Schizosaccharomyces pombe: one gene and its partner. Changing the gene in region 2 together with the main gene of any one other region gives a genetic interaction. Each region holds a gene or a part of one and is shown on either strand. Other genes may lie near its edges.

What was found. A genetic interaction does not mean that the proteins touch.
Region 1: mutations in pfd2 (region 2) and fft3 together harm fitness more than expected from each alone (negative genetic interaction), as found in Schizosaccharomyces pombe (2 studies listed by BioGRID).

The regions. Positions count from the first base shown.
Region 1 is NC_003424.3:2,097,646-2,103,696, reverse strand, and holds fft3 (protein Fft3), read left to right. Parts: upstream 1-1,891; 5' UTR 1,892-2,647; coding exon 2,648-5,416; 3' UTR 5,417-5,502; downstream 5,503-6,051. Other genes in the region: protein Atg14, read right to left, coding at 1-915; SPOM_SPAC25A8.03C (uncharacterized protein), read left to right, coding at 5,912-6,051. UniProt on the Schizosaccharomyces pombe protein: DNA helicase that possesses intrinsic ATP-dependent nucleosome-remodeling activity and is required for heterochromatin organization.
Region 2 is NC_003424.3:511,975-515,470, reverse strand, and holds pfd2 (prefoldin subunit 2), read right to left. Parts: upstream 1,670-3,496; 5' UTR 1,641-1,669; coding exon 1,613-1,640; intron 1,564-1,612; coding exon 1,473-1,563; exon of another isoform or gene 1,426-1,472; coding exon 1,302-1,425; exon of another isoform or gene 1,228-1,301; coding exon 1,126-1,227; 3' UTR 920-1,125; downstream 1-919. Other genes in the region: putative misfolded glycoprotein sensor Yos9, read left to right, coding at 1-249, 389-919; fol3 (folylpolyglutamate synthase), read right to left, coding at 2,411-3,496.

The sequences.
Region 1 (6,051 bases), 1.6 Mb from region 2:
AATCCAAACTATGTTATACATTATATACAACATTTGTTCCGATGAAAATGAAGTCATGGGTTTTTGATCAGGCGAAGGGAGTTGAAGCGGGCATGGTAAGGGAATACTGGTATACTGAGCTAAAAATATACAAATAAAGGATAAAGTTAAAGCACAATCAGGATTTAAAAACATTTTCTCTTTACTTCTGATACATACAGGAATGCCAGAAATAGTCACAGAGGCATTTAACTCCATCACCTGAGAAAAAAAGTTGCTATAAAAATGTCCTGTTTCATTGTCACTATGAGATAAGTCGGATTTCGAATTGCCCATTGATAATTTTGAAAGTCTATACGCAAGAGATGAATCTATGGAGTCAGGGTTAAACTCTGATCCCATTTGAGCAGATTTTTGAGTGCAACCCTGAGTGTTAAGCACTAAATCCCTTTGCCAGTGAAGTTGATACATATCCAAAACCCTTGTTATCAGCTTCTTTTGATACTCATGCAATTTATTTTGAAGTAGCTCAGAACGGCGATAAGCTGTAAGGTATTCCTTAGAGAAATAGTCACTCGTTGAATGTGATAAGCCAGCTAACTTTTGACTCGCGATATTAATTGATTTTTTGCGATTAGACAAGTCATCTTCTATAAGCTGTTTGCGGGAATGCAAGTCACACGATAACGATTTCTTTTCGTTTAGAGAGGCAGCAAGGTTCTGTAGTCGATAAGTTAATTCCTCTTTTTGGGTAATCTTTCCTTTTAGAGAGAAACTTTCTGATTTCAATTTAGCAACCTTTTCAAGCTCTGACTCAATATCTCGAGAGAATTCATCACGTTTATGATAAAAATCATAAAGCTGCTTTTTTAAACAGCTTTCGCAAATAGAAGGACGTCTTGTTTCGCATAATTGGCATTTATTGACATGCAGCATACAAACACACCTTCAGTTTAGATCCAACAATGCCTTCAAGTGGTACGCAAATTTCAATTATAGCACAGCAATAAGAAAACTTAAAAACCCAGCAGGATATTAATTTCCTACTACGTTAACTGTCAACTTGTATACAATATAGGTGTTGTTAAAATAATGAAGCAAAAACAAAGAAGAAAAAGGGAAAAAAAATAAACAGCGCAGGTTTTTAAACAATTATTCTTAGAAACGAAGGGCCTCCTAACGGACAAATTCAAAAATATTAATTTAAAAGTGAAACTGCATTCCTGGCTGTTCTTGCAGAATTGAACAACCAATGCGATATTTTTGACAGAAAAAACGACAAATATTAAGAAAAAATTATATTATACGAATTCAATGCAATGAGTAGATGGACTTCTATTTCTTCAAATCCCCGAAGTAGCTACTTAGCAGTTGATGTTCGTATTGATTACTACAATCGTATGCAAATAGTTACTTTATAAAGCGTTTAAAAATATTTCCTTAAAGTAGCCTGTTACTCGACACTCAAATTTTTGCTAAATAACTTTGAGTGATGAGCAAGGTGTTTTACAAAACTATTTTATCTAAATAAATAGGTTAATAAAATATTAACTAAATAATATAATCCTAGAACCCAAACCATCCTCTTTTAACATTAGCTTTTGCAGTATCACCTAGAAAACATAACGTGGTACGCTGCCATAATATAACGAAACACTATTTGTTGTCATATTTCTTAAGGTTCAGTGACAAAAGATCTCTAGTATCTGCAGTTATGTTTAATGATTTTATTAAAACTATAAAAGAATAAAGACAATTTCGCCACGGTATCTTTTGCTAAATGTTTAGTAATATAAAGAGCAAGTTGCCATCATGATATAGCTTTACCATAAACTACGTTACAACGTTTAAGGCATTATTTAGCATCAGTATTTGGGACCACTACCACCATATCACGCCCCCGTGCCACATCAAGAACAAACTACCAGCATAGTGTGCTCTTGAATTATACCGAATAATTCCATAATACAAAAGAAGGTATTGGGTGACTGGAGTCTTTTTCTTTAACAATCCGATTCATTGAGTGTTATTATTTTAATTTTGGTAATTTTCTTTTTCTTTTTTTAAACAAAGATTGTTTTTGGATAGCCAAAGTATAAGTCGTTTTTGGTGATCTTTAATTGCGAGTATTTGTTTATTGCTAGAGCTTACCAAGTTTGCTTCATCTTAAACATCAGGAAAATTTTAAATTTATATTTTAAAATTTTTTTGTCTACTTTTCATTTACATTTTATTTTTCTTCATTAAATTCTGCATATCATCTCGAAACAACGCTTATGTATTAGAAGAAGGTGGTCTATCCTAATTAACTCATACACATCTCGTAACTAAAGGAATTGTTTCTTGTTTTAGAAATTGCAATAAGTTTTGGCCCTCAAAATTTTTTGTAATCTGCTGTTCCCATATTAAGTTTTCAACTATTTGAGTTACCAAGAAACGCGTGAAACAAGAAATCTGTATTGTTTTGTCGTTATTTCTTCCATTTTAATTAATCTTAGGAGAATTTAAAAAGTTTCAATCTTTTTGCATCTATTCTCGGCGCTCTTAATTCGTGTGATAAAATTATTCATAATATACACGTGACCTTACATATTTTTTCTCCAAATCCTATATTTTAGATTCAATTTTCTTTTGCCATTTGCTTGGATACATTGATTGTTACTTAATTATGGATGGAAAAAGAAAAATAGAGCATACCGCTGATGGCACGCATTACGACGCGACTTCCAACGTGAAGCGCAAGCCAATTTTCCCCCCTTTCATTGCTGATTCGCTTTCAGAAGCTACCGAAAAAGCTAATGTTATGGGGGGTGGTATGAATTCGCGACTTCAGATTCTTTCAGAGATGTCTAAACGAGTTCAGGCTACTGCACCCATTTCAAGTTTAGAACATTTCAAGCAGTTGAGTGATATTTCTCCCTCATTTACTTCCTCTGCTAACTCCATAAATCAACCATATAATTATTCCGGTTCGTTAGAAAATCTTGTTCCTACACCTTCTGCTGGCACTCCTTCGCAATTTATGGATGCCCAAAATCCATACGGCGCTGTTTACAATGCTTTATCTCAATTCTCTGAGACAGAGCCCAAAATGCCCTCTTACATGGATGACGAAGAAGCAAGCGATTCTTTACCTCTTTCATTATCGTCTCAATCACTGAGTTCACAGGTTACAAATCAAAAGCCAGCCCCACATCGTCTTACAATGAGAGAACGATATGCTGCTAATAATCTTACTAACGGACTTCAATTTACCTTGCCATTGTCATCTCGAAAGACTTATGAGCCTGAAGCTGACGATGACAGCAATGATGATATGTACTCTGATGATGATTCAAATGCAGATCGCTGGGCATCTCGTATAGATACTGCTGCTCTAAAGGAGGAAGTTCTTAAATATATGAATCGTTGTTCAACACAGGATTTGGCTGACATGACAGGTTGTACGCTTGCTGAAGCTGAATTTATGGTTGCCAAAAGACCTTTTCCAGATCTTGAATCTGCTTTGGTCGTTAAGCAACCTCGTCCGGTGATTCCCAAAGGTAGACGAGGTAGACGTGAAAAAACTCCTCTTGGACCACGTTTAGTTGGTATATGTATGGAAATTATGCGTGGTTATTTCGTAGTGGATGCGCTTATTCGTCAGTGTGAGCAGCTAGGTGGTAAAATTCAGCGCGGCATTGAAGCGTGGGGCTTGTCAAACACTGCTACATCTGATGAAGGTGAAACTTCTCTTGTCAACTTTGATCAAATGAAAAGTTTCGGTACGCCTGCAAATTCCTCGTTTATCACTACACCTCCTGCATCTTTTTCGCCCGATATCAAACTACAGGATTATCAGATCATTGGGATTAATTGGCTTTACCTTTTGTACGAGCTCAAACTGGCTGGTATCCTGGCTGATGAAATGGGGCTCGGTAAAACTTGTCAAACCATCGCTTTTTTCTCATTACTCATGGATAAAAATATTAACGGGCCACATTTGGTAATTGCACCTGCTTCAACGATGGAGAATTGGTTACGTGAATTTGCCAAGTTCTGTCCCAAGCTAAAAATTGAACTTTATTATGGATCGCAAGTCGAACGTGAAGAAATTCGTGAACGTATCAACTCTAATAAAGATTCTTATAACGTTATGTTAACCACCTACCGTTTAGCCGCTACTAGTAAGGCTGATCGTTTGTTTTTGCGCAACCAAAAGTTCAATGTTTGTGTATATGACGAAGGTCATTACTTGAAAAACCGTGCGTCTGAGAGATATCGTCATTTGATGAGTATTCCTGCCGACTTTCGAGTTTTGCTAACTGGTACACCGCTACAGAATAATCTTAAAGAATTAATTTCGCTTTTAGCGTTCATTCTTCCTCATGTATTTGATTATGGTTTGAAAAGTTTAGATGTCATTTTTACTATGAAAAAATCCCCAGAAAGCGACTTTGAACGAGCATTGCTTTCAGAACAGCGAGTATCGAGAGCCAAAATGATGATGGCCCCATTTGTCCTTCGCCGTAAAAAGAGCCAGGTGTTAGATGCTTTGCCGAAGAAAACGCGTATTATAGAATTTTGCGAATTTTCCGAAGAGGAACGTCGCCGTTATGATGACTTCGCTAGCAAACAAAGTGTAAATTCTTTATTGGATGAAAATGTCATGAAAACTAATTTAGATACGAATGCAAATCTTGCAAAGAAGAAAAGCACAGCTGGTTTTGTGCTTGTACAGCTTCGTAAGCTTGCGGATCACCCTATGTTGTTTCGAATTCATTATAAAGATGATATCCTTCGACAAATGGCGAAAGCTATTATGAATGAACCCCAATACAAAAAGGCAAACGAACTTTATATATTTGAAGACATGCAGTACATGTCAGATATTGAGCTACATAATTTGTGTTGCAAATTTCCGTCTATCAATTCATTCCAACTTAAAGATGAACCTTGGATGGACGCCACAAAGGTCAGAAAACTTAAAAAACTGCTCACTAATGCTGTTGAAAATGGCGACAGAGTTGTATTATTTAGTCAGTTTACACAGGTTTTGGACATTCTTCAACTTGTCATGAAATCATTAAATCTAAAGTTTTTAAGATTTGATGGTTCTACACAAGTCGATTTCCGCCAGGATCTCATCGATCAATTTTATGCTGATGAAAGCATTAATGTATTTCTTCTTTCTACCAAAGCCGGCGGTTTTGGTATCAATCTTGCGTGTGCTAATATGGTTATTCTTTATGATGTCTCTTTCAATCCATTCGATGACCTTCAGGCGGAAGATAGAGCACATAGAGTTGGCCAAAAGAAAGAAGTTACAGTTTATAAATTTGTTGTCAAGGATACCATCGAAGAGCACATTCAACGTTTAGCCAACGCTAAAATTGCTTTGGATGCGACTCTTTCCGGCAATGCCGAAACTGTGGAGGCTGAAGATGACGATGATTAGTTTATACAGGGTTTTTTATGCATTAGTTTTAAAATAGTCAAATTGATTAGGTTTCTACTTTATTCGAGTAAACCTTTCTCTTTATTTTCAATTGTATTATCTGTATTTGTGTTTTGCACGTTATAAGTCGATCCCGTTTCACTAAATCAGATTAAAAGATTTGATTTGTAAAAGTAAATTCTATTTATTGAATGATACAAATTCAGTACTTCTTCAACCTAATATGAAAGCTTTTAGCTTCTTGACACCATTTATATACCACGCCAAAAACGCGTCGTGAAAATGGTCAGTCTTTTTTGAAGATAATACAGCAAATAAGCGATTCTTATTATCCAAAGTCGTTCTAAAACTTGCAAAACAAAAGTTGACAGAGGAAAGCACTTCACCTAGTAAGTTTATGAAATCATATTATTACATTTTATTTCTCAACTTCGAATAATAGTAATCGAATAAATAATGAATTTTGTTCAATTTTAATACTACAAAGAGTGTTAAATGCTGAATCTTTATATGTGGAAGCTAAGTCGCTCTCAAGTTTATCAAGCTTCATTATTATTTGGAAGCAGAGTAATTAGTGCTCTTGCATTTACAAATACCGGTCTAGTTTTGCATGGCCCAAGAAGATGGTATACTAC
Region 2 (3,496 bases):
CCTAAATATTCGTTTGAATGGAGTAATGTGTCAATATTAGAGGGCGACATTGACTCAATTAAAGAAAAAACTGAAAAAACTAAATTATCGTCATTATTCTATGCTGGAAAGCATGAATATTTTTGTGTATATCCCAATGCGTCTCTTATAAAACAAAATAGCACAACCGAACCAAGCTATGATTTACAAGAATTGCGGATACAAGGGACTGAAAAAATCAATGAGCTTGCTAATGTATTTTTAATCGAGGTACGAGTTCTAATTGTTTTATTTGTCTTAAACAAACCAACTTTACTAAAAGGTCATTATTTGACATGTCCATAAAAATTTTAGAATTAATGACTACTTTTAGTACATGTAGTGTTTTTCAAGCTAATCATTGTATTAGAATCGTGGTTATTGGACTTATGACTATGTCTACGGTCAACACGTGCGTCAATATCATTTGGAGCCGCAGCAAGGTTCTGACAAAGTCCTTGCTAACCCTATGTATATACTTGGTACGGCACCTAACACTCAAACTAAAAAGAATTTGGAAGAAAATTGGGCTATTGGATTTGTTGAAGGTAAAGCATATTTGCAAACAACTTTCCGAAATGGGACTATGTGCGACATTACTAAGAGACCAAGACACGTAATTCTAAGTTATGAATGCAGTACAAATTCGGATACTCCTGAAATTACTCAATATCAAGAAGTTTCAAGCTGTGCATATTCAATGACTATTCACGTTCCCGGTTTATGCTCATTACCTGCTTTCAAAATTCAAGAGGACATACCCTCTGAAAAAATTGTGTGCTATAATGTAATTAAAGAAAAATCAAACGAAGTCGACCATAAGGATTCCCAGCACGTTGTTGATGAAGTTGCTCAAACATCTCCGCCTGAGGTGAAGGAGGTAGAGACGCAATCAAGTTAGTTCTACCTAACTTACTACATGTATTAAGTCTACGGTTTAAGTGAAACTCTAATAACATAAAGTGATGATATTTGATGACACAAATACTCTTGGATTCTATCCCTGTTCCTCTGTTTAGGAAAAAAATGTTAAACCGAAGATAAAGCACTTGAAAAACAGTCGGCGTGTCAATGAACGCAACTGCGCAATTAATGGAGTCATCTGTATTATTGTCTAACGACTTGAATTTTATTGTCTTTTTGAAACTTTTGGAATTCTGCTTCGAGCTGCTTATACTGGTCGAGCAAACCATTCATGGCTGTTTGAATCTAATATTTTGATTAGTACATCAAGACCAAAAATTCATCTGACAATAAAGGGTCAAAATAAAAAAATTCCTTACCCCTTCTTGAGTAGTTTTAAGGATAGGCACAACAGTTCCCACCGTTCTCTCCACTAGCACTCCATGGATCATTCGAAAACAACGTCGATTATTATCCATGGAGTTTAATGTGTCCATAACAAGTCTTTTTAGTTAGGTATTTAATTTAAAAATTTTTTATGTATCACATACTTATGTTCGTCAGCATCGGTTTCCAAATCGACAATCTTCTGCGCAATTTGTTGTAACCGAGACTTATATGAATTGTACTGCGTCTGTAGAACTGGAACTGGTCAACTATTTTGTATTTTAAACTCATCCACAGTACATACTCTGCTGCCGAGAAGGTTGTTCAGCCATTCTGCTTTTTTGTATACTCAAAAAATGTTGGTGGATTATACATGTTATATCTAAAACGTATACGAATTTTAGTGCGTAGCAATCATTGTTGCTGTAATGATAGATAACAAGCGCTATGGATTACGGTAAATCTGTAATTAATTAGACTCTGAGTATAATTTTAAAACAGTAATTAAATGTTTGTGTATTTTAAAATTAATGTAATAGTTAAACTATATTAGTCTAATTTTTAAATGCCTATCATTTGCACTATACGTATATCAACTTGATTAGCTCAACCTGTGAGATAGAAGGGTATATTTTTTTAACGATTTCAGCGTTTTACTTATTTTATTGCAGTTACGACAGTATTTAATAATAATTAAAAGAAAGGCGGAATCTTTCAATGTGCTAAATATGCTTCAGTTATCCCACCTTATCTTGTAAGAATTGTAAATCAAGATCTAGTCACATAATGAAAATAATATCTGTTTTATTAAGGCTGCAGGCAGAGCGCACCAAGTATTTAAACTAATGTATTCGTAATCTATAAGTCAATTTCTAACTCAATATCTTAACTCACACCAAAAACCCATCAAAGCTTAATATAAATCTTTTATCTTTTTTCTATTAACCTGATAGCATCATTCAAGCTTCTTTGAAAGTAAATTTTAGTTTTTAAGTCATGGAACAAAATTCTCTAGAGCACAATTCATCACTCTGTGACAATTCATATGATAAATTTGTCAAACAAGGAAAAACGTATGAAAGTAAACAGCACGATTTAGAGGCTATACGTCCAGTTTTAAATAACGATACATGTCTCCTAGAAGATAAAGACTACCGCATACAATTACGCTGGAATTCTTCTCTTTTGCCAGTCTTAAAATTTCGCTTATTGTTAGATTATCTGCAGTATAGCATTCCACAGAAGATTCCGAAGATATACTGTTTTTTATAACTTCAGGTTCCATTGATTTAATCCAGGGCATCCCACTTACTGAAGAAAAATTTGTCGCTATAACGGTATCTCCTTTACGAAGAAGGATTTTCATAATCCCAGTAACGTCTTTTGTGTTAGTGAAAGCTACTACCCATGATACTGATTTATTGTGCTCACGTCTTTGCGAATTTACAAATTTCGCAAGCTCAATCGCAGCTTCTTTATTGTGTGCTCCGTCAAATAAAATATCACCCAAAGAAGGAACCGAACGAATGTCAAGCCTTCCAGGCCAAGATGTATTTTTTACACCATTTTGTACATGGGGAAGCATAATTGAAAATGACGAAGAAAGGATATCGAGAGCAGTTACTGCACAAGCCAAATTTTGTCCTTGATAATCCCCCTTCAATGGAGTACTAAAAGTATTGGTTCCCCAATTTGGAGTATTGATGATCCACTCATTTTTGTTTTCACCTGATTTTCCTTTTGCCAAATAAAACGGATGTGCCCTCGTTTCCTCTGCACTTAATTTTAATTGATTTAGGACGTTAACTTCATTTAACCCATCAACCACGCACGGAACATTCTTTTTAAAGATCCCAGCCTTTTCTTTAGCAATAGCCTCTAAGGTATTTCCTAAAAATGCTTGATGGTCCAAGCAAATACGTGAAATTATTGAAAGAACTGGTTCTTCAAATACATTAGTAGCATCCAAACGACCACCCATTCCTGTTTCAATTACAGCCACACGAACACCTGAATGATGAAAACATTGGAACGCAGTAGCAGTTAACAATTCAAATTCCGTCGCTTTTGTACGAAATCTTCTATCCACTTCAATCACCTGCTTCCAACAAGTATTAAATATCTCTTCACTAGCAATCTGACCATTTATGCTTATGGTATCTCTTGGCTCTAAGAAATGAGGACTTGT